Linked DNA regions of Cricetulus griseus. The protein of the gene in region 1 interacts with the protein of each later gene in a pairwise test. Links are inferred from orthologs where the notes say so. Each region holds a gene or a part of one and is shown in the gene's direction. Other genes may lie near its edges.

Evidence for each region.
Region 2: the proteins of Hspd1 (region 1) and Samd3 interact in binary tests that used the Homo sapiens proteins (3 or more experiments, as listed by UniProt). The two-hybrid records come from large-scale screens. The link is inferred for Cricetulus griseus from reciprocal best matches to the Homo sapiens genes HSPD1 and SAMD3.

What each region holds. Positions count from the first base shown.
Region 1 is NC_048595.1:409,522,557-409,535,858, reverse strand, and holds the start of Hspd1 (60 kDa heat shock protein, mitochondrial), read left to right. Parts: upstream 1-6,373; 5' UTR 6,374-6,498; exon of another isoform or gene 6,499-6,579; intron 6,580-7,380; 5' UTR 7,381-7,382; coding exon 7,383-7,556; intron 7,557-9,075; coding exon 9,076-9,328; intron 9,329-9,977; coding exon 9,978-10,060; intron 10,061-10,982; coding exon 10,983-11,078; intron 11,079-11,536; coding exon 11,537-11,630; intron 11,631-11,829; coding exon 11,830-11,998; intron 11,999-12,567; coding exon 12,568-12,667; intron 12,668-13,204; coding exon 13,205-13,302. Other genes in the region: MOB-like protein phocein, read right to left, coding at 5,065-5,229, 5,862-5,864. UniProt on the Homo sapiens protein: Chaperonin implicated in mitochondrial protein import and macromolecular assembly. Together with Hsp10, facilitates the correct folding of imported proteins.
Region 2 is NC_048595.1:245,298,894-245,310,265, forward strand, and holds the end of Samd3 (sterile alpha motif domain-containing protein 3), read left to right. Parts: intron 1-2,006; coding exon 2,007-2,207; intron 2,208-5,993; coding exon 5,994-6,165; intron 6,166-7,159; coding exon 7,160-7,242; intron 7,243-7,451; coding exon 7,452-7,730; downstream 7,731-11,372. Other genes in the region: L3mbtl3 (lethal(3)malignant brain tumor-like protein 3), read right to left, coding at 10,923-11,066.

The sequences.
Region 1 (13,302 bases):
CCTCCATCCACCAGCCCAGGTAACCCAGGAGCTGTTTGTGGTTCCAGTTCTGCAGCCCTGCTCAGGGACACCTGACGCCAGGGGTCTGCTCACCAGATCTGAACTCAGCGGGATCCAACACACCCAGAGACTGCCAAGGCCCCAGTAACAGTCCCACCTCCATCCACGAGAAGAGGACAGACATCAGAGTATTGGAACTGTTTGCATCTACCAGAGGGGAACCTTGGTCCCACACCCACCAGGAGAGTTAGAGACTCCTGCTACACCCACCAGAAGAAAGGATGAGAAGAGGACAATGTAAAAGCACATTCAACAACAGAAAACTCAATATGACACCATCGGAGACTAGGAACTAAACACCAGCAAGCCCTGAGCATTACAATGCAGATGAAACAGAAGAGAATGACCTTAAAAACATCTTCATGAAAATGATAGAGGACCTCAAAGAGGACATGAGAAAAATCCCTTAAAGAAATGGAAGAAAAAACAAACCAAAAAATAAAAGATACCAACAAATCTCTCAAGGAAACAGTTCAAGACCTAAAAACTGAAATGGAGACAATAAAGAAAGCACAGTCTGAGGGAATGCTGGAAATAGAAAAGCTGGGTAAACGATCAGGAACTACAGATGCAAGCATAACCAACAAAATACAAGAGATGGAAGATAGAATCTCAGGAGTTGAAGGTACACTAGGAGAAATAGACTCATCAACCAAAGAAAATCTTAAGTCCAACAAATCCCTAACACAAAATATCAAGGAAATATAGGACACCGTTAAAAGACCAAACCTAAGAATAATAGGTATAGAAAGTGAAGAAATCCAACTCAAAGGGACAGAAAACATATTCAACAAAATCATAGAAGAAAACTTTCCCAACCTAAAGAAAGACATGCCAATGAAAGTACAAGAAGCCTACAGAACACCAAATAGACTGAACCAAAAAAGGTCTCCTCGACACATAATAATCAAAACACCAAACATACAGAATAAAAAGAAAATATTAAGAGCAGCAAAGGAAAAAGGTCGAGAAGGTGAGAGGACACCAGGAGCCAGCCACCCAGCCACAGAGTAAGAAGGAAAGAAAGGTATATTGAACAGAGAAAGGTAAAAGGCAGATGCAGAGGCAGAAGGTAGATGAGATAATGTAAGGAAACCTAGCAAGAAACAAGCCAAGCTAAGGCCAGGCATTCATAAGTAAGAATAAGTCTCTGTGTACTTATTTGGGAGCTGGGTAAGCTAGGTAGCAGCCCCCCCTCCCCAAAGTTAAATATATAATCGGATCCCCGGAACTGTAGTTAAGAATAATTATAAACATGTGGGTGCTATAAACTGATTCTAGGTCCTCTATAATAGCAAGTACTCTTAACCATTAAACCATTTCTCCAAGACGGGGTGGTGATGGTGCACACCTTTAAACCCAGCACTTGGGAGGCAGAGGCAGGCAGATCTTTATGAGTTCAAGGCCAGCCTTGTCTACTGAGTTCTGGGACAGCCTCCAAAGCTACAGAGAAACCTTCTCAAAACAAACATGTCTCAAAACAGGAGCTGGTGAGTGCTTGCCATGCAAACATTAAGACCTGAACTTAAATCCCAAGTAGGGCATGATATGCACATGTGCTGTGGGCAGATAGGACTGCTGGGGTTCACTAGTCATAGTCAAACTCCAGGTTCAGTGAGGCCTTGCTCAACGGGTAAGGCAGTGATCACAGCCAATACCTGATTGTCCTCTTTTGGCCTGACCATGTATATACACAAATGCCAGAGACAAACTGAAAAAAGCCTACCACAACGCAAGGTGGTTACTAGTAACCTCAGAAATCAGGAGTCCAACCTGGATCAAAGCTTTCCTACTACTGCCCAATGCTATTACCAAGTGTTTTGAGATCCAAGGCTTGGTTCTAAAGCTTTGATTCCATTCCCCAAATTACTTGGTATACTTAAACCTGCAAGGGCCCAACCACACCTACTAGAAGGTTGGCCCCTTGTGATATTTGACTAGGGTAATTGCTAAAGAAACCATTTTAGGAGGTTATATTTGTAATATAGAAAGAACTCTGTCGTATGGAGTTTAGGTTAAGTCAGATGGGTAACACCTATAACCCAAGCATCAAGGAGGCCAACGCAGGAGGACCAATCTGTTCTGCAGTGAACCACAGAAAGACCAAATCTGGATCCTCTGATAGAACAGCCAGTGCTTTTAACCATTGACTGAGTCACCTATCTGGCTTCCTGTGCTGATTTTCTTTGCCAAAACAAATTAACAAGTTTTGATTTAAGATTTGGAAGACAGGCATGCTCAGGAAATAATGAGGATAAGAACAGCACACCTCTGTAACAGAGCAACTGTACCCCAGATCATACTTGTTGTACAATGTTGCTAACTTTTGTCAAGCGGGAAGAATAAATTGCAATTGATTATTAGATGGGCCTAGGATACTCAGACTATGGTGAGTTATCTTCATGATTGATATGGGAATGCCCAGGCCACTATGGCTTGTGCCACCCCTGGGCAGGTGGCCCAGGCCAGTGTAAGAAAGCAAGAGAAGGGGAGCAAGGCAGAAACATTTCTCTTTGGTCTCCGTTACAGCTCTTGCCCAGAATTCCCTCTATGTTGAACTATGAACTTGATGCTGAAATAAACCCTTTTCTCTCCAAGTTGCTTTTGGCCAGTAGTTTATTACAGAAATAGAAAGCAAACCAAGACAGGGCCTAAGTATAAGATAAGCCCATGGTTTTAATATCACTTATCTAGGCCGGGCATTGATGGTGCACACCTTTAATCCCAGCACTTGGGAGGCAGAGGCAGGTGATCTCTGAGTTCGATGCCAGCCTGGTCTACAGAGCAAGTGCCAGGATAGGCTCCAAAGCAACACAGAGAAACCCAGTCTCCCCCCCCCAAAAAAAGTATCACTCATCTATGTAAGGAAGCCAAATTCATCCTCAAAATTTATTTATTTAAGAAACCTTCTTTCTCAGAACTCTTAACTCTGCAGCTTAAAGGGAGAAACCCACCTTAAATTACTAAACACCGTCACTCATTTACTTATTTTATTCGGAAATGTTTATAACAGTACATTGATACTAAACCTTCAGAGACAATGGATGTCATCAGTTTAGGCATCATCAGTTTATTATAAAAGGGAGGCACAGAAATTATTTACATGATGAATAGTTCAGAATGTCGGCGGAATGGGCAGCTTCATGTGATACCATTTCAACAGTGATTTCAGTCCGTATATTTTCCAAGAATGTCAGCATCTCTAAATAAGAAATAATCCTGTGAATAAAGAAACCACCAGTTAAGACAGTAAAAGCAAACACACAACTCATTTTAGCTTTATTGCTTGGTGGTAGCACGTCTTTAATTCCAGCACTTGGGAGGCAAAGGCAGGCAAATCTTTGTGAGTTCAAAGCCAGCCTGGTCTACAGAGGAGTTCCAGGACAGCCAGAGTGACACAGAGAAACCCTGTCTTGATTTAAAATAAAAATCATAGCTTTACTTACCTTGTCGTCTAGAACTACTTTGGTGCCTCCATATTCTGGGAGAAGAACTTTGTCTCCAACTTTCACACTGACCGGCTGAATCTCTCCACCCTTAAAAAAAATAGTTGCTTATTAGAAAGGGCATCTTGTTCACAAGACACACAATGAACACTTTCTTTCCGTACATACACCAGGAGCCTCCTGCCTCAGCTCTCTAAGTGTTGTTAATTATAGGCATGTATCAACCACACTAGGCTCTATAGACAACTTTTAAACCACATGAAATGTGCTCACTCAAATCTAGTATGTTGTTTGGTACCTAATTAGTTGTTAAGCAATATAATTTACATTAAATGTAGATCATCACAATATAAGCATCACTGTAGTTACAATTTGAAATAAACAGTGGCTTAGCTAAAACTGCCTTTCAGTGAACAGCTACGGTTGGCTAACATTTTAACTATTAAATATTAACACACCCTAGAGACCAGGTGAAATAAAGCAGCTTTTAATACCAAAATAGTAAATGGTCACATATGACTTTGATGAATAAAAATTTGCTATTTGTTTTCTTTATTCAATGTCCTTGTCCTCAAGGCATAGGCTTGGTCAGAAACTGAAGTAGCACACTACAGAGGTTTAGTTAAGTGGAAAACCCAGAGTATTTCCATTTCCCTTCTCAAATATGACAACTAAAGCTACCAGTGGCATAAGATTAAAACAATTTCAGTGCCTGAGTTAAGCCATCAGCCAGCCCCCATCCCCACCATTTCACCCTTTCTTTTTGGGGAAGGAGGAGACAAGTCTATGTAGCCTTGAGTGGCCATTAATTCTGGGTCCTTCTGCCTCAGCTCAGCCCCACCACCACCAGAATTCTAGTGGTATTATTACCACTTTCAATTCTGAAAAAAAAAAAAAAAAACAAAAACCCCACCACCCAGGGTTTATCTAACTGTATGATGTTTTGTCTATTTAAAACTGTGAAAAGTAGGTTACAACAAACTACCAAAGGTAATATATTTTGTGACGTTTTGTTTTTCCTTTTTAATTTTTTTTTTTGAGATATGGTCTCACCCTGTACCTCCTGATGGCTTAAAAGACTCTACAATCCTTCTGCCTTGGTCTCCAAAGTACCATGGCCACAAGGCATGAGTCACCATAATGGCAGTTAATCTCTGGAGTGTGTGGCACTGCAGAAAGAGCTCAGTACTGGAACCCAATTTAGGGAATCTCAACACTAGTAAAAAGGCAGTAACCCAAACATACTGAGGGCTGGAAACAACTCTGCAAACCAGCAGACATGCACATACAATGTCTTACACACACACACACACACACACACACACACACACTTCTCATGTGTACATTTTGCCTTTTTTTATAGAATGCCTCTCCATTCCTTAGAAAAATAAAACAACTCCACAATGGTTTTCCTTCATGCGCGGTTCTTTGTGAAGTTAAATTATTTCAAAAAAAGACATCTACTATTTTAAAAGCCACTTGGTAATCTAGGATTTTCTACTCCTTTCCTTCCATATCACATATAAGACTCAGTACTGCTGTAGTAGCTCCCAGTTACCTTTCCTTTCGAGCCTGATCCCACAGCCACTACTGTTGCTTGCAATACTTTTCCTTGAGACTTTTCTGGAAGCATAATGCCACCTTTGGTCACAGTTTCGGCGGCACTCCTTTCAACCAATACTCTGTCAAAGAGCGGTAGAAACTTTTTGAAAGCTTGTCCAGCCTGCGGAGAGAAACGTGTTCAAACGGACTGTCATTGCGTTCGCAGCGTCAGACCACGAACAGTTAATACCGCTGCATGCCTTAACCTATAACGGGTCAAACGTCCCAAACTGACAAGAAAAATCTAGGTGTGCCTTTAGAAAATATTCTTGGATGTTTCATACCCTGTATATTTTAGTGCGTGTGGGTGGGTGGGGGGGTGTCTTCATTGCCCATCAGCACCCACACTACCTTTAACCACAACCTTGGTCTCCTCCAAGGTCAAACGTTTTCCTTCTTTAGATTTCTTTTTTTAATTCTAGTAACGCCGGGGAGAGAGTATCAATTTTTGAGCTGGGTCATATATTCTCCAACACAGTATACGTCCATGAAAGCCCTGGCAGGGCAGGTGGGCTACTGAGTGTGCATCCGGGTTCCCGCCCCCTACCCCGGGCTCCTGCAGCACACGTGCGTGCAAAGAGGCCGTGGTGGAGAACCGCATCGGACAGGCCTCGCTCCTGCGGAACCCGGGCGGGCGCCGAACACTGCGTGGCCCCCTGCCCTGCCGGTGCTAAACCGGCACACAGGGGGGGACACCGTGGGTCGCGGGGGACCCCGACCCGCAGGCAGGCCTGCCAGCCCAGGGACACTCACCATGACTCGCGCCGCCGCCGCTCGGACTCTGCACTCGGGCCGCCGCTGCAAGGAGAGTCCTGAGGTCCGGCTCGGGACACGTGAAAAAGCCACGCAGCGCGCAGGCGCAGGCGCACGCGGCCCCCCCCCGCGAGCGTGAGAGAGGGCGGCCACGGCAGCGCGCGCGCCGATTGGTGGCGAGGACTCCGCGCAGGCCGCCGAAGGGGGCAGCCGGAGGCGGAAGAAAAGGGGCGCGCTTTCTAGGCTTTTCCAGGCGGCCCGCTGAGGTGAAAGAACGAGCCCTTCGTCCTCCTCCCGGAAATGACGCCACCTGACCCTTGACCCACGGGAGGCGCAGCGCCCTTCCGGAAGGTTCTAGAACGGAGCGAGGCCCAGGAACCAGCGTAGGGCGGCGGGAGAGGGTTGAGCCCGCGGGGCTGAGACCGCTCGGGTACGGGGGGGGCGGGGCCACCCGCGCCGCATGCTGATTGCAGGGCCCGGGCGTGGGAGGGAGCGGGGCGCGCGCGCACGCGGGGCCGCGGGGCGGGGCCGCGGAGGGAGGGGACTCGGACTCATTGCGGTGCGCGCTCTGCGCTCGGTCCCTCACTCGCCGCCGACGGCCTGCTTCGCCTCGTGCCCTCCCGCCGCCGCCCCGCAGGTACACGGCCTCGACGTGCATGGCGCCCGGGAGCTCGCCGGCCTGCTTCCGGCTGGGCCCGAGCATGGCGGGCTAGGGGACAAGGCTGGCAGCGACGCCGCAGGCTCTGCCGGCCTGTCCAGGCCCGACGGGGCCACGCGGGTTTCATCACGTGCGGCGGGGACCACGCGACCCAGGCCAAGCGCGGGAGCGAGGACGGGCTAGGGTGGGAGCCACTTGGGCCCTCTGGTGCCACCTGCGCCTGGCGCACTGCAGGACTCTTGTCGGAGGGTGGTCGCGGTCCCTTCTCGTCCCCTCTGGCTGCGGGGATGCGGCGCCTCTACTTTGACCTTGCCTGGGGCTCCTTGTCGGGCAGACACGTGGGGCCGCGCGAATGGGCTGAGCTGCGGTCCTGGGTTTTGCGGCCTTGCTAGTTGCTGTGCTACCGTAGCTCCGGGTGGACACCTGGCGTCACTTTTCCTGAGCGGGGTTTTGCACCGTCATGAGTACTTGTATAGTTCCCTGTGCTCTTGCATTTGGAACCTGCCTCGCTTACGCCAGCTTGATTTTTTTGCCCCCCCCACACACACTTTTGGAGTGGATCTGTTCCTAAGGCCGCTTTGCCAGTGAAAGATTAACTCGCGGTGGCAGGAGTGGGTGGCCATGGGGAATGGTTTTGTGTGCTAGGGCTGCAGGTCAAGCGAGCATGGGGGCGGCCTCCTTAATCCGTTGCTAGCAATTGATGTCCTGAAGCTGCAGCGCCGTGTGTGGCCCAGGCGTGGCGGTTAGCAGAGGACTGCCAAGCTCCAGTCTAGCTAGCCTCCATGTTCTGAAGCACAGGTGGACAAGTTTGTCCGTAACTAGTAGTGATCCTTTGCTTTTTTTTTTCCCCCCCTCTCCCAGAAATGCTTCGACTACCCACAGTCCTTCGCCAGATGAGACCAGTGTCCCGGGCGCTGGCTCCTCATCTCACTCGGGCCTATGCCAAAGATGTAAAATTTGGTGCAGATGCTCGAGCCTTAATGCTTCAAGGTGTAGACCTTTTAGCGGATGCTGTAGCTGTTACAATGGGGCCAAAGGTATCAGTATACTTTAAATCGTGTTAATAAAAGAATAGTATTCTGTAGCTGCAAATTAGACAGTATTTGTTAACAAGTTTTATGAAAATCTAATTTGAGTGTAGTACATGTTAAGTGATTTGGGGGTGTTATTTAGGAGTTTCGTTAGTTGGTGGCCTTAATACTGCTGCAGCCGATTTGGGGGACTTTTGTGCAACATGATGTAATAGAGTAGTAATAGCTCAAGGAGGATTTTCAAACTTTAGGCGTAATTAATCTTGTGTGAATGCTTGCATTAAATTTTGGATCCTTTCCCAGGAGTTAGAGGGTATAGAGGGGAAAGGACAGCTCAAGACTAGTAACACCTCAGAGTGTAATTGTAGATGTGAGGTTTTACTTAACTGTACTGAAGTATTACAGTATGCATACAGTAGATGCGATAGCATAGAGTTTAGATTTATTTATATTTTTATGTGCATTGGTGTACTGTCTGCGTGTATACCCATGTGAAGATCCCAGAACTGGAGTTACAATTGTGAGTTGCTATGTGGGTGCTGGGAATTGAACCTGGGTCCTAACCACTGTGGCATCTGTCCAGCCTAAGTTAATATTTGTGACTTCGTTTGCATTGTTCTGTAACTCACCATCACACATCTCCAGAACCGTTTTCACTTGCACATGGAAAAGGCTATCTGGTCTCCCATTTATCCCTCCATTGTGCATACCTCATGATTTCTCTGCCATTTCCACATTCCAAAAGTTTGGTTTGGGGTTTTTAAGAGTCTCGATAGCTTAGTCAGACCTCTAACTCGCTTTGTACCAAGACTATCCTTGAACTGATTGTCCCAGGTATGTAACAGTTTAGTATACTATTCATCTGGTGTTTATTGAGACAGGGTCTTTAGCCATAGCTGACCTGGAACTCCTGTGGACCAAGCAAGCTTGAACCTTGAATCATTGCTGAGATCCAAGGCTGGAGTCACTCATCTGTGTGGTTGAATAAGGAGCCATAGTACTTTGAGGACATAATTGGATGTGGGGCACAGTTGCTTTAAATTGACGTTAAAGCCATCTAAAGAGCTTCGTAAAGTGCTGTTTATATAGGTCAAGACAGAATAGCTTGGTTCAAATCCAAGTTGCCAATACTGTTGGTGTCAGTTTTGAAGTTTTGAATTGCATGAGCAGGAAACAGTAAGTTAAGAACAAACTTACTGGCTGATATTTAGTGAATGGATGTTCAAGTAAATTGTACTTAAAAGCAACAGTTAATAAAAAAGTAATAACAGTTCATAACCAAAACTCGTGTACAAGTGATGGAAGGGTGTTCCAGGATTGGTGATTGTCACCTGTGCTATCTTGTTTAATAGGTGGCATCTCTTTGGGTGGGTGGGGGATGTTATCTACTGTTGTACCTCAGAGTTCCTTTTGTCTATAGACCTAAGAATGTTGATTAACTTGACCTTTGAGATTCACGTTTCAGGACTGTTAAAAGTGACAACTTTGAAGTTTATGGTTGAGGGTTGTTATTCTGTCATTGTAGGGAAGAACAGTGATTATTGAACAGAGTTGGGGAAGTCCCAAAGTAACAAAAGATGGGGTCACTGTTGCAAAGGCAATTGATCTAAAGGATAAATACAAAAATATCGGAGCTAAACTTGTTCAAGATGTTGCCAATAACACAAATGAAGAGGCTGGGGATGGCACTACCACTGCTACTGTTCTGGCACGTTCTATTGCCAAGGAAGGCTTTGAGAAGATCAGCAAAGGGGCTAATCCAGTAGAAATCCGGAGAGGTAAGAGCATGTCATTGACCCTACAGAAATGAGAGTATTGTCTCATCTTTTTCCTTTCTTAATACATTTGTTGGTGTGTGTCCATAGACAAGATGGGAGTTGTCCTCCCTACCCTTAAGGGTCTCATTTCCTTAGGTGCCGTATTGGAAACAGGCAACATGATTGGATTAGTAGTAGCTTAAGAAGAATGAATTGAGTAGTGAGGGGTTTGGTTTTTAAAATTTCATTATTTTTATGGACATTGGTGTTTTGTCTGCATGCATGTTTGTGCAAGGGTGCCAGATCACCTGAAACTGGAGTTACAGGCTTTTTAAGAATGGGTGGCTATCCCTCTTAGCCCTCCCTTGTTTTCGGGGGGCGGGGGGTGTATATTCCATGCTAGTCTTAAAAGAAATCCTCCTGCCTAAGCCTCCTGGGTATTGGGATTACAGATGTGAGCAACCACTCAACATCTTGATCAAGTTTTCACAAAGTTCATGGTTTTCAACTTAAATGTGAAATTACAAATGATTGAGTGCATATCATGTCACTTGGTACAGTTAGGACAGTGCTGACATGAGAGCTTGCATATGAATGTTAAAATGAACCTGTAAGTTCATGCTTGGTTTGGGAGCCATAAGCATTGTACTAACATTCATTCTTGAACTAGGTGTGATGTTGGCTGTTGATGCTGTAATTGCTGAACTGAAAAAACAATCTAAACCTGTGACAACCCCTGAAGAAATTGCTCAGGTAAGGGTTTTATTTCCTGCTTAAAAAGTTGGGGGTTTTTTATGTTTGTGTTTTGGTTTTTCAAGACAGGGTTTCTTTGTGTAGCCTTGGCTGTCCTGGCACTTGATCTGTAGACCAGGCTGGCCTCAAACTCACAGAGATCTGCCCACCTCAACCTCCCAAGTGCCCAGATTAAAAGCATGCACCACCACTGCCCAGTTCTTTTTTTTTTTTTTTTTTTTTTTTTTTTTTTTTTTTTTTTCATTTCTTTTTTCTTTTTTTAAACATGGTTGTACAATTAGATTATTGGGGAAGATGTTCTTAGGTGTTCTCAATGTTCCCTGCCCTATATGGGATCAGACCTAATCTTTGAAACATAGTAGGCAAGTAAATAAGAGTTTTTATGTGTGGGGGGTATGTGTGTGTGCCATGTGTGTTATGAACCCATAGAAAGTGATATTAGATGCAGTTGCCAGCTAGTGTGAGCTGGGTGGTGACCTAAACACTAAGTCACCTTAACCACCAAGCCATCTGTCCAGCCCTGTTGGTATATTCTTAATGTGCCAAAGAATGGAAGGACCATTTAACCAGTACTTCATTAAAACTGATAAGCTGGGGGCTGGAGAGATGGCTCAGAGGTTAAGAGCACTGGCAGCTCTTCCAGAGGTCCTGAATTCAATTCCCAGCAACCACATGGTGGCTCACAACCATGCATTATGAGATCTGGTGCCCTCTTCTGGTGTGCAGATATATATATGGAAGCAGAATGTTGTATGCATAATATTTTTTAAAATATACATAAAATCTTTTTAAAAAAAAAAAACAGATAAACTGTACAACGTTTCTCTCCCCTGGGTTGAAGTGTCAATTTAGAAGGTCGAAGGGGAAAAGGGTTGAAAATACTGATCTTACCATTTAATTTTGAAGTAACTGGTTATTTCAGGTTGCTACAATTTCTGCGAATGGAGACAAAGACATTGGAAACATCATCTCTGATGCAATGAAAAAGGTTGGAAGGAAAGGCGTCATCACAGTGAAGGCAAGTGTGGGGTTTGATGTGTTCTGATAACACCTTCAGGGAGGTGTGTGTCAACTGTTTTCCAAACAGAAAACTTAATTTGTTTATGCCAGCACATTCATTGGGAGCCTTACCTCCCAGAATTAAACCATCCAATTAAATAAATATAATTGGCTCTCAGCTAGCTGTGAGTAGGAGAGAATGGAGCGAGGCCTCACTTTGTAGCCCTGATTAGCCCAGAACCATAGGCCTCAACCTCAAAGGGGTGATATTTCTCTGACTTGGCTTTGTTGTGGGGAACTAAAGGTGTGGGTACCTGGTGCTTCGGATTCCACAAGAAACAGCAGTTGTGAGTCAGCAGGTGGGTGCTAAGAACCTAACCAGGTCCTCTTGAACAGCAGCAAATGTTCTTTAGGTTTAGCTGCCCAAGTATTGTTTCTTTACTGAAATCATTCATCTAATTCTTATACTTTTCATAGGATGGAAAAACCCTGAATGATGAGTTAGAAATTATTGAAGGCATGAAGTTTGACAGAGGATATATTTCCCCGTATTTTATTAACACATCAAAAGGTAAGAGCGAGTCAGCAATGAATCTTGAAAATACGCTTTAAAGGTATCTGTCAGCTGTAGGCAGTGGGTTGGTACAATCTGTAAAAATTGAAAAGTTAATAGTTCACTAAATGAATGAGTAGCAGGTCTCTCTGTAGAAGTAAATTGTTAGTTTTCTCGGTGCTGTTAGAATTTGGTTTTATTGCTCACTGTTTTACAGGTCAAAAATGTGAATTCCAAGATGCCTATGTTCTGTTGAGTGAAAAGAAAATTTCTAGTGTCCAGTCCATTGTACCTGCTCTTGAAATTGCTAATGCTCATCGTAAGCCCTTGGTCATTATTGCTGAAGATGTTGATGGAGAAGCTCTAAGCACACTGGTTTTGAACAGGTGGGCTGGGTGGTTCATATTTTTGGGTGGAAGGTGATTTGGGTTGCTATTTGAAATTCCATGTTTGATCTCTTAAAGTGGTAGTGTACATTGTGGTGCTCTATGCATTGAATGTAGTGGTTTGTTGGAGACAGTGTCAAGCTAGTCTTAAATGCACATAACCCTTCAGCCTGTACCTCTCACAGCTTCCCAGAGAGAACTGTCCATGTGTCCTTTAAAAATTCTGTCCAGATGTCAGTCTGGAACGTAAAGGCAGCAGTTCTTTAAGTAGATGATTGGCTTGGGACAAATTCATATGAGTGAGTGCCCCATCTCATCTTCAGACAGAAGTTGCTGGGGTACCTGAGTAGTTGAGTAGTGCCAGAACTTACCAGGAACCAAAGGTATTTTCTCCCAACTGCCCCTTTAGTTTAAATGTCTTTTTGGTTTTTCTAGACAGGGTTTCTCTGTAGGTTTGGAGACTGTCCTGGAACTCACTTTGAAGACCAGGGTGGTCTCGAACTTAGAGATCCATCTGCCTTCCAAGTGTCAGTTTAAATCTTACACAATTAATTAAATGTTCTTTACAGGCTAAAAGTTGGTCTTCAGGTGGTAGCAGTCAAAGCTCCAGGTTTTGGGGACAATAGGAAGAATCAGCTTAAAGATATGGCTATTGCTACTGGTGGTGCGGTAAGTAAATCTTACTGCTGTGCTCACTGAAGTTAGTGCTTCCAGCTTGCAAATAATAGAATGTACGCTTCACAAATAGATGTGGCTTTCTTTCTATTGGGTATTTGGAACATGGGGAATAATTAGGGTCACATTTCTAATTTGCTGAGTCTGGCCTAAGAATGAACATGATAAATTCAAATAAAGCTAGTTCCAATTCCTATAATAGTGATTGTAATCAGACCTTGTTCTGGGATACCAGTGGCCCTGACATCCAGGAAAACAGCATTATTTTTGTTTTTCTTTTCTGCATTTTTTACTTTGTGTGTATGTGTGTTTTGCATGCACAATAAAAGGCAGCACCTAGTCCTGTAGAACTACAGTTGTAGACAGTTGTGAGCTGCCATATGGGTGCTGGGAGGACACTTGGAAGAGCAATGCAGCCAGTGCTCTTGGATGAAGCAGTATTTCTAGCTGTTTCTCCTCACAATAGCTATGCTACATACAGTAGTAAGCTTGGTATAATGGGAGACACTTAAGTGTACACTGTGTTTACAGGTGTTTGGAGAAGAGGGGCTAAATCTAAATCTTGAAGATGTTCAAGCTCATGACTTGGGAAAAGTTGGAGAGGTCATTGTCACCAAAGATGACGCCAT
Region 2 (11,372 bases), about 160 Mb from region 1:
GCATAAATTTAGAGCACTCAGCCTCAAATGTCAAGTAGAATTTAACTTTAAAATCCCTAATTTTTCTTTGTGAAAAGGTTTTTATCTTGTAAGGAATTTTATGTAAGATTGGAGAAATTTACTTTAAGCTGTTGTGATGAATTATGTTTTTCCTAGGAATTCACTTGATCTATCTCTGGCTAGTCATCCTAAGCTTACAGACAGTGGGATGGACATGAAGTTTCCCTAGCGTTTGTCTCTAGTTACTTGATACTGTCTTCTTCACTTACAGGTAACATCTGCTTGCATCCATGGTGAGCTAGACTGCCAATTAATTTTCATTCAGATATAATCAGCTGTGTTCTTCAAAATGATTTTTTACAGAAAGGTTTCCCTCTTGCTTTCTCAAAACTGATTGTCTTAGATTTTTTTTTTTAACAAGGGTCCATGAGATATTCTGTTGCTACTCCCAACCCACCCAGTGTATAATGAACAAGACTGCCACACTGATGATTTATTGTCACACACACACACACACACACACACACACACACACACACACACACACACACAAAACAGTTGTTATTTTAAATTTTGGTGGCTTGGCATGCTTGGCAACTACAAAGCAAGCACTTAAGAAAAAATACAGATCTGGGTAGACTTCTCAGAGGGTAAAGTGTTTATTAAATAAATGTGGATCTGAGTTCAGTGTTCCACATTCATGTCGGTATGGTGACATGAACCGGTAACTCTAGTCCATTAGTGGGGAGGTAAAGACTAGAGGATCCCTGGGCCTCCCAGTCAGCCAATCCAGGCAACTGGTGACCTTCAGGTTCAATTCCATAACATTATAGACACTTATCAAGGAAGAAATCTAATGTCAACCTCTGACCTCCACACTCATGGGCATACATGTGTACCCCTAAACATACACACACACACACACACACACACACACACACACACACACACACAGGCACAAAAGAGAGAAAAATAACAAAACCTTACTTAAAACCCTTTCTTGTCTTCTAAGAATTAAATTCATAGAAATAACATTGTGATAAAGTGAATTTTCTGGAGAATCTGATTGCATGTAACCAAATAAGTAGGAATTAATATAGCTCTTTAAAATTTGTCAAGACTACAGGTGCCTGGAAAGACAGCTCAGAAGCTCATAGCACTTGCTGCTATTGCCAAGAACCTGGGTTCAGCTTCAGCACCTGTCCTGAACAGCTCAACTGCCAATACAATACATGGTGCACATCCAGACAAATAGACACACTGGCATAAATAAAAACAAATACAGTCCTTTAAGAAAAAAAGCATAGACTATAATTCCACTGTAAGAAACTATCTAATTAGGATGAGTGATGAGCAAAGGGGTCCAGACCAGGCTGGTGAAACCCACAGAAACAGCTGACCTGAACAACGGGGAGCCCTTGGTCCCCAGAAAGATAGCTGGGAAATCAGTATGGGACTGATCCAGATCCCAGGAATGTGGGTGTCAGTGAGGTGACCTCAGAAATCCATGGGGCCTCCTGTAGTAGTTCAGAATTTATCCCTAGCTTAGGAATGGACTTTGGGAGCCCATTCCACATAGAGGGATACTCCCTGGGCCAAGACACACAGGGGTGGGCCTAAGCCCTATTGCAAAGGATATGACAGACTCTGATGACCCCTATTGAAGGCCTCACCCTCCCTGGGGAACAGAAAGTGTATGTCATAGGTAGGGTTTTAGTTGAGGGAGTGGTAGGGGAGAAGGGGAGGGAGAGGGAACTGGGTTTGACATGTAAAGCAATCTTATTTCTAATTCAAATAAAAAAAGAAAAAAGAAACTAATTTTCTATCATAAATGACTCTTCCTTGGCTAACAATGTTCAAGGCCAAGTGAAATGACACATGGCAATCCACACCTTAGGGATACATCATAAAGAGCAGGACGACAGTCTCTCAGAGAGCCAAGTTTCCGTGATGTATTTAACTGCCTTGAAACATGAGACTAACGGATACTTTGAAATGTTTGGCAGGAAGAATCTGTTTATTTAGATTCCGAGGTGAATGAACATATCCACTGGTTCCAGCGAGAGTACACGAAAACAGACAAGGACTGGAGAGAAATTGACAGGAGGATGAGTCAGACTTTGGAAATCAGAAGAAAGATGATTGGCTGCCGAACACCTCTCAAGGACATTCTTAAGATGTTTCCTTTCCTGAAGTGTCCTTACCAGGTAAGCTACTCACTAGAACAGTCTCTGGTCTTGGTGTCACGTTTGTTTTTCTCCCTCTTTCCTCTGGAGTAGTGGCCAGACAGCCTGGCAAGACAGTGGGTGTGTGAGTCCCAGGACAGTGTGAGGAGGACTGTTGAGATAACCAGTGCTGTTGTCTTTGGGATCAGAATTCCCTGTATAAGCACACTCCAGGTTGGGGGTGAGGTGTCTGTACTGTTAGGGTATTTTTTTCACACGAATAACTCCATTTTGCATGCATTTGGACAGTAGAGATGGTTTGTTCAGAACACTTTCCAAGTAACAGTTTTCTTTGTCTTCTATAATATCAAATCATTTTATAAAGTGTCTTAGTGTTTCTATTTCTAGGATAAATCACCATAGCCAAAAGCCAATTCATCAAGAAAGGGTTTATTTGGATTTCATTTTCACATCATAGTCTGTCACCAGGATTGTGGAACCAAGAGCCAGGAACTGAAATGGAAGCCATGGAAGCATACTGCTTATTGGCTTGCTCACCTTGGCTTTCTCGGTTTGCTTTCTGAGCAAGGACCACCTGCCCAAAAGGTGTGGCGCTCTCCACAGTGAGCTGAGCCATCCCACACTCGCCATCAAGACAATGCCCTGCACAGGCCTGCCTATGTGCCAGTCTGATATGGGCATTATCTCAGTTTAGTTTCCCTCTCCTCAGATGAGCCTGGGTTTGAATCAAGTCGAGAAAAATCAACCAGGGTATAAAGTGATCTCACTGTTCCACTGTCTGTCACCACCCAGAGTTTATTTGCTACTGATACAGGTTCTGAAGAAGAAAGAGAAGTGGCTGGGGGTGGGGGGAGGGAGCGGCAGTCAACCCTGACACTTCACCATCTTATAAACATTAGTATCCTCTCCTTTAAAACTTTTTCAAAAAATATTTTTGTTTGTTTTTGTTGTTGCTGTTGTTTTTCGAGATAGGGTTTCTCGGTGTAGTTTTGGAGTGTGTCTGGGAAACTCATTCTGTAGACCAGGCTGGACTTGAATTCATAAAGATCTGCCTGCCTCTGCTTCCCTTAACAGAAAAACTTAAAAATTAATTATAAAAATCACATTAGATTGTATACAACTTTAACTAGAATTCTGCTCTTTAAGGATAAGATGAAAGTCAAGTGAGGCAGGGAGTTAGGAGGGAAGAGAAAAAAATTAAATGCTTGAAGTTTCTAGAGCCCCGTGAGGTGCTGTGACTTTCTCCTTCCATGAAGCAGTCTCAGCATCCATCCCTTGGTTAGGTGAAAGTGGGTTCTGTGGTATGAAACTGTTGTCCCAGCCAATCAGAAGCTGAAGCAGGAAGAGCTTTTACAACAGAGAGTTTAAGACCAACTTGGGCAACCTAGTAAGACCTTGACTCAAAACCAAACCCATAACTTCACTGAAATACCTAAGAGCAAAGTGAATAAAGCATGGGAAAATGTAAAGAACCTGAGTTTTGATTTGCTCTACTGGTGTACGATTACTGACCTGGAGTTTCCACCGCCAGCCTGGATAGAGCTAAGGAACAAAAATAGATAGGCAGTTGCTTGCAGGCCTTAGGGACTCAGATCCTTGGTAAGGGAGGCTTGCTGTGCAGAGCTACACTGAGGTGGCTGTACCGAACAGGTGGGGACAAGCAGCAATTAGTGGTCCCACTCAGGCCAGCAGGAAGAGCCGAGAGTTTGAGAATGATAGACAATTGTTGTGTGCTGGGCAGGATTTTGGAATAAGTGGGGGACATAGGAAGAAGCTCACTGTCTGAGATCTGGTCTCCTTAATGCCTTGAAAACCGAGGCTGCTGCATGACTGAGGGCTGATACAGGAAGCATAAAGTGTTGTTAAGAGCTTGGGGCTGGTGTGATGAGTTGAAGCACTCAGGCACTCACATGGCATCCAGAAGTCTATGCCTTGTGAGTAAGATTCACCCCTAGGTTTCATTTTTCCCAGTCAAGGGCAAAACCCAAAACAAACTTTCCCAAACAAATGATGAAGTCTGGCAGGTCAAGAGGAACAACCAGTTCTTAATTGAGCTGCCTCACAAGAGCCATGGTCCCTTGATGAGGACATGATTTCCAGCTCCGAATGACTTAACTTTCAGACCTAATCCTTGGTCAATTTATGATTTACCAAAAATATCTAAAGAATTGTAAGGAATGCTACAATTTTAAGAACAGTGGTGACTAAATTAACCATATTGGTGTAGATAACGAGGGGTCTGATGGCTTCATTCTGTCAACAGGAGGAGTGGCAATAGGGATGGAATTCTCTGGGAGTCCAAATTTAGGAAATTCTGGGAAAGGTAGGGAAAAGTAGTTTGGAGTCAAGAGGCTTCCATCAGTTTTTCCTTTGATTTGGGGCTTAACTCTTCCAGATGTTTATTGTTTAACTCATCTTACAGTCTCTAAAACACTCCCTTAGCGTCCTAAGATTGGCTACTTTCTTTTTTTAAAAGATTTATTTATCTATTATGTATAGTGTTCTGCCTGTATGTATACTTGCACACCAGAAGAAGGCACCAGATCTCATTATAGATGGTCGTGAGCCACCATGTGGTTGCTGGAAATTGAACTCAGGACCTCTGGAAGAGCAGTCAGTGCTCTTAGTCTCTGAGCCATCTCTCCAGCCTGATTGGCTACTTTTCAAGAGTAGTGTTCCTGTTTTTTTCTCTTTTGGGATGCTAATGAAACATAACTGTCCTAGCTTGGTTTCTGTTGCTGTGATAACACAGATCCAAAACAATTTGGCTAATAGGTTACACAGTCCATCATCAGGAAAAGGCGAGGCAGGGACTAAAGCAGAAACCATGGTGGAATACTGCTTACTAGCTTGCCTCCCAGATTTGCCTTTCTTACAGAGCCCTGGAAGGTGCCATCTAGGCCCTCTTACATTAATTAGCAATTAAGAAGACACCCACAGACATCCCCACTGTCCACTCTAATAGAGGCCATTTCTCAATTGAGAGTCTCTCTTCCCTGCTATGTCTAGATTTATGTCAAGTTAAGAAAACTGAACTGTAATGGTAACAATGTGGTTTATATAAAGAAATGTGTCTAGACTTCTAATCCTGTGACCCAAACAGCCAGTATACATGTGTATTTACTTTTTGTGATCCTCATTTAGTAGAATTTATATCTAAATTTTTAATTTGTAATTGGCCTTAATTTCCTTTTTTTTTTTCCCGAGACAGCAAGACAGGGTTTCTCTGTAGCTTTGGAGGCTGTCCTGGAACTCACTCTGTAGACCAGGCTGGTCTCAAACTCGCAGAGATCCACCTACCTCTGCCTCCTGAGTACTGGGATTAAAGGTGTGTGCCACCACTGCCGGGCTTGGCCTTAATTTCAATTCTAGTATTGGAAAACATCCAATTCCTTAAAATAGAACAAAAGGAAGAAAAGTTTCCTGAAGGTTTTTTGTTTTTTTTCAAAACAGGGTTTCTCTATATAGTCATGGCTGTCCTGGAGTCACTCTGTAGACCAGGTTGGCCTTGAACTCAGAGATCTACTTGCCTTGCCTCCCAAGCACTGGGATTAAGGTGTGTGCTACCATTCCAGGCTCCAAAGTTTTAATTCTGTATCCACTCTTTGTTTTACTATCCACTTCAGACTTTCATTCTTTTTCTCCTTGTCCTGCATCCAATACACTGAGCCACCAAAAACTCAGGTATATACTCCAAGTCATTTGTGAACACTTAATACAATGTTAATGAGAGATCCACTCCCTTATATTCTGAACACTAGTAACCTTCACATGTGGCCTGACATACGTATTTCTTTCTTCTATCAGATGTTCCGAGAAGTCCAGCTTCTTACGAAAACAGATATTTATAAGAAAACAAAGCATATTCTGGAATCCTACTCAGAAAATATACTGTCTGCCTTTTCAGTGGTGGACAATCCAATCAATACGGCACTGCAAGAGAAGATGAAACACTATACAGATGAAGGAGTGCGGAAGAGTCAGTAAAGCCCAGGGATGGGGCGGTCTCAGCCATTTCTGCAACTATAGACAGAAGTGTTTTGTTGCATTAAGTGAAATTTAGTGAGACGGAAAACAGCTTTTCAAACAGAGAGAGAAAAAAGCTTGGGTTAAAAAAGTACACTCAAGGGGCTGGAGAGATGGCTCAGAGGTTAAGAGCATTGACTGCTCTTCCAGAGGTCCTGAGTTCAATTCTCAGCAACCACATGGTGGCTTACAACCATCCATTAAGGGATCTGGTGCCCTCTTCTGGTGTGCAGATATACATGGAAGCAGGATGTTATACACATAATAAATAAAACCTTAAAAAAACTTCACTCAATATTATAAATTATATTATCGGCACCAGTACCCTGTAATCTTACAAGACACACTACAAGGCCAAACACATTAAATCATCCTGGCAAATGGGCACAGCCCAGAACTTTGGTCTCTGTTGGCCATGACCTAGAGGGTAAACCTGAAGTTTGGAAGTTTTCATTAGAAAAATCTTTGTTAAAAATGGTTGTGAGGCGTGGGGAGATGATCAGAGTAAAGTGTTTGCAGTGCAAGCATGAGGGCTGGAGTTCTGGACAGTTGTGCTGGCCATTTGCAATCCCAGTACTTGGGAGGCAAAGACAGGATTCTGAGGGAAGCTGGCTATTAGCGCAGGACTGACTGAATGTGCAGACTCTAGGTACAGCAGGAGACCCTGCTTCAGTAAATAAGTAGAGGAAGACACTGGGTGTCAACTCTGGGTATCCACACGCACTTGCACGCACACCCACACGTATGTAAAGATGCAAACACATATGGACACAGACCACACTTACACATGCAAAAAATGGTTGTGAAATACTCACTTGAGAAGATTTGCTTTTCACACTGGAAGGTAGCAATAATTTAATAAAAAGCAAATCCCACATTTTCATGTTAGTTTTTCTTACCATTTCCAAAAGCCCATTTCTTTTACTTGGACATGCTTACTCTGACAGATATGAAGATGACCGCCACATGTTTACTCCTCCCAGATGTTTTTGGGGATGATCCCAGCCTTTTTGTCGTTGTGAATGAGAAGGTATGTAGTATATTTATGGCCATTCATTTTATACCTTCGTATAACTTGAGTATAAGGTCAGTGGTCTACTCAAGTCATTTCATTGTATTACCATTAGGCTATATTGTAACTAGCTCATTTACTGCTAACATTGTGTGACGTGCAGGCATGCTTTATTATTTAGCTGTTTGACATATCAGTGGGTAGTGATGTCATTCCTCTTTTTTTAGGTACATGCATCCACCCCGGTGTTGGGAGTTAAAAACCCTTTCCACATCAATGGCTGTGAGTTTTCTCTGTATCTAGACAAAGAGAAGCTTGTCAAGGTGGATGACTGCATCACAGCCCTGGCTGCTTTGGTGGCTGCTTTCCATGTGTTTGGGATTGAGTGTCCGAGAAGACTGTCCCAAACCTTTAACTTCCTGGAGACATTGATCTTTGATGTGCAGAGTCCCTGTTTTCCATCTTTGAAAGAAAAGGAAATCAGATGTCAATCTCCTATCACTTAAGACTATCCAAATTGACCTCCCAGGGTGGCCGAAGCTTCATAAACAACTGCAAATTGATTTAGGGTTGCCTTAGAGGTAAGGATTGAAGAATCATGTTGTCTCAAATGTCAGTGAATTTTTGATGCTTCTGTCCTTAAGTTAGATACTTAAGCTCTCTGTTGTGTTTGGTAATAAAATACTACTAAAAAGCTTTGAATATGATCTGAGTTTGTAGGTATTCTATGGCCAAGGTTACTCATTCAGGAGTGTCAGTTTTTAAAGGACATTATGAGGTGAAATTCTCCCAGTTAGGGTCTGACCCTGAATTTAACTCAGCGCGTGATGGCTTGAAAACCCATGAGTTGGACAACCTCTTTGGTCTCTTTGGTTAGAACCCTGATTAGAAACATCTTGAACTTTAATGTTTTAGAAAGAAGTGCACCTAGTCCATATTGCAGTGATGAGACAGCAAAAAGATATCATGGTTGATCACAATGAATCCTATGCCACCCAAGAATGTTCAGTGTTTTGTTTTTCTCGGAAGACATACTGCTTCCGAGTGAAATCTTCTGTTGCCGTTTTGTTTTTCCAGATAGGGTTTCTCTGTGTAGCCTTGAGTAAAATCTTTAATAAGATTTAAAAATCTCTTTCATTATAGCATACACTTTAAATTTAAATTAGAAAGGAAAAAAATTCTCAGTGTGGATGAAAACTACTTGGGCTAAAAATGTGATTTTTAAAGGGTTTTTATTTGTTTTTTTAAGACTTATCCTACCATCGAAGTACACAAATACACAAAAATACTCAATATTACAGTCCTTAGATCGCTATGCTGTGCCCCTGCCACACTCACCTTTTCTTTGTGGTGTGTGGACTTGTTCGTGTGTGTCTGTGTGGGCCAGTGGGCCGTCTGCTATATTCCTGTGTCTTCTTGTATCACTACTCTCCCCACTTCCTCTTCTTTTTTTTATTAAAAAAAAACCAAAAACACAAAAAAGAAGTATGGGTGTTTGCCTGCAGTCTGTACACCGTGTATGTGCCTACTGCCTGTGGAGGCCAGAAGAAGGGGTTGGATCCCCTGGAACTGGAGTTAAAGGTGGCTGAGATCCAAGTACTCTGAACCATTGGCCTACTTCTCTAGCCTCACTACCTATGCTCTTTTGAGGCATGGTCTCTAACTAACTAAACTTGGGATTCATAAATTCACCTAGGCTTCCTAGCTTCAGGGATCCACTTGCCTTTGTTTCCACAGCACTGGGGTTACAGATATGCCTGATTTCTACACAGGTGCTGGGGATCCAAACTCAGGTCCTCATGTTTTGTAACAGGCACTTTAGCATCGAGGCAACTCCCAGACCTATGGTATCTCTAATGCTATTTATTCGTTATCGCTTTGTAGTGGAGCAGATCAAGCCCAGGGTCTTATAAATGCCAGGTAGGTGTTCAAATATATACCCAGGCCTTATATAGCTTTTCTTAGATATGATATTATTCCTGGTTTTCTCTATATCTCCTATTTAATAACCTCCTTAAAAATCATACATATATAAAAAGAATCTGTAATTAAGATTTTATTTCATTCATATCACATGTAACAAGTGCAAGTTAATGTACAAATACTGAACACAACGAAAAAGGGAAAAATAACAATAAAAAGCTTATTTAGCAGATTCATGCAAAGAAATGAATTGGACACTGCAGATGTCAGGGACCCTGTTTTACCTTGAATCATGACAAATGCAAAGGACTGATAATAAACTCCTACTATGGCACATCAAAGGAAGTCCTACATCAGAAAAACATTAAAGAGTTTATGGAAAGAGGTGGGACTCTCCCCAGAGTTCCGACAGCATGCTACTAAACTTCCTATTTTTAAAGCAGTCCTTGGACAAATGTCTAATCCTGGAATTAGAAAGTACATCAAAAGACTGACAAAATAATTTACCTTCCCCCTAGAAGTGCATGCTTACAAAAGAAACAGAGCCAGCTATGAATTTATAAATAACCCAGGGCTTTCATTTAAAGTGCATCCAGATGCTTAAAAATCAAGGCAAAATATTTCATAGGAAAAGGAATCTTTCCACATTGGAGGTTCCCAAATAATGGCTTTGGGAACCACTTCCTCGACTTGTGAGCATGGAGAATTTTGGGGTCTGCTGGTGTTAACAATGTCACACCAGGTCTGTGCAGTAACATCAATGCCCTGCTTCTCAGCTCACTCTGAGGAAATCCCCTGGGTCTGGAGGACCTATGACTGATGGGATCTCTTGAACGATTAGTGTTTCCATCAACAGAAAGAGTCCTTTTCTATAAAGCACCAGTTACTTCCATGTCATTTACAGAGATGCACACAATAATCTCCTAAATCAAGCTCCTGATGAACATCCCCTGGAATGTAACCGAATAATCCTCAGATACCCACTGGTGTAAACACATGGGCACCATGTTGTGCACAACTGATTCCGCCCAGATACACTACTTCATTCAAACCTAAGTAGGTTTATATATTTTATTTCTCAATTCTGTTCTTTTATATACATTTTTTTTGGTAATAACAGTAAAGATGCTGGTGAAAAGTAATTTGTTTAACAACTCATAATGCGTGCAAAAGTAAAAACATGGATTCAAAGAAAGATAGTATTTACAGTTCTTCAGTCCCAACAAATGATGACACACAGTTAGGCAATATCGTGACTCGCAAAGTTACACTTGGCTAATGCTGCAATTCCAAATATGGCACAGGGCGAACACGACTGACACTAGTCCCAGGCTCAACTCAGCCAGGTTTCAACGGATTTGGTTTAGGTTGAAATTCAGTTATATAAAAAGGTTTCTGAAAGTATTGAAAAAAAGAAAGTGTACATGAAAGAGAATCCAACAATGTTTACAAAATGCCGAAGTTCTTATTTTGCCCCCCATCCATAAATAATGAAGCCCCCATTTCCCCACCCTCCTCCCACCTCCAAAAGATTTACAAAGGTAAGTTTAGCTCAGTGAGCAGAACTGAAAGATGACCGTTGCTGGACAGCAGCTGGTGAGAAGCCCAGGCGTTTCCTAAGAATGTATATGCAGTCCGGAGGGACGGATGGAATCCCATAGCGCTGCTCTTGGGATCCTGGAGACTTCTCAGTCAGGAGCTAGAACCGTCCTTGTGCTTTGAATAAACATGATGAGCATTAAAGCGGAAGCTGATGGTACCCAAATTCACTGTCATCACAGTTCATTGTGGGAATTCTTCTCCGCCGCTTTAAACATCAGGATAGAATTGAAAATTTTGAGAGCTGGGCCCAGCTTAATGCTCATAATTTTCACAATGTCTGTCTGGGTCATAAGTAAAAACGCTTCTCCATCAATTTGCTGAAATAAAGGAAGGAAAAAACCAGACACAAAAGAATATGGATTAACCAGATGCATTGTTGTGGGGCTATCCAAAGCTTTATGCTGTACTATTACCTGACTTCACAACTATGCTAAGAAGACATACACCAGAGATCATGAACACAACATTCCCAATCTATGGGTCTCCACATACCCAACAAAGTAAAAGTCAATCGTCTGAAACACCTAACAGATTTAGCCTTCTACCGTGCAGGAAAATAGAGAGAGAACTTTTGTCAGCCATGGCCATAGTTAGCCTCCATAAGCAGAAGAGAAACACAAACA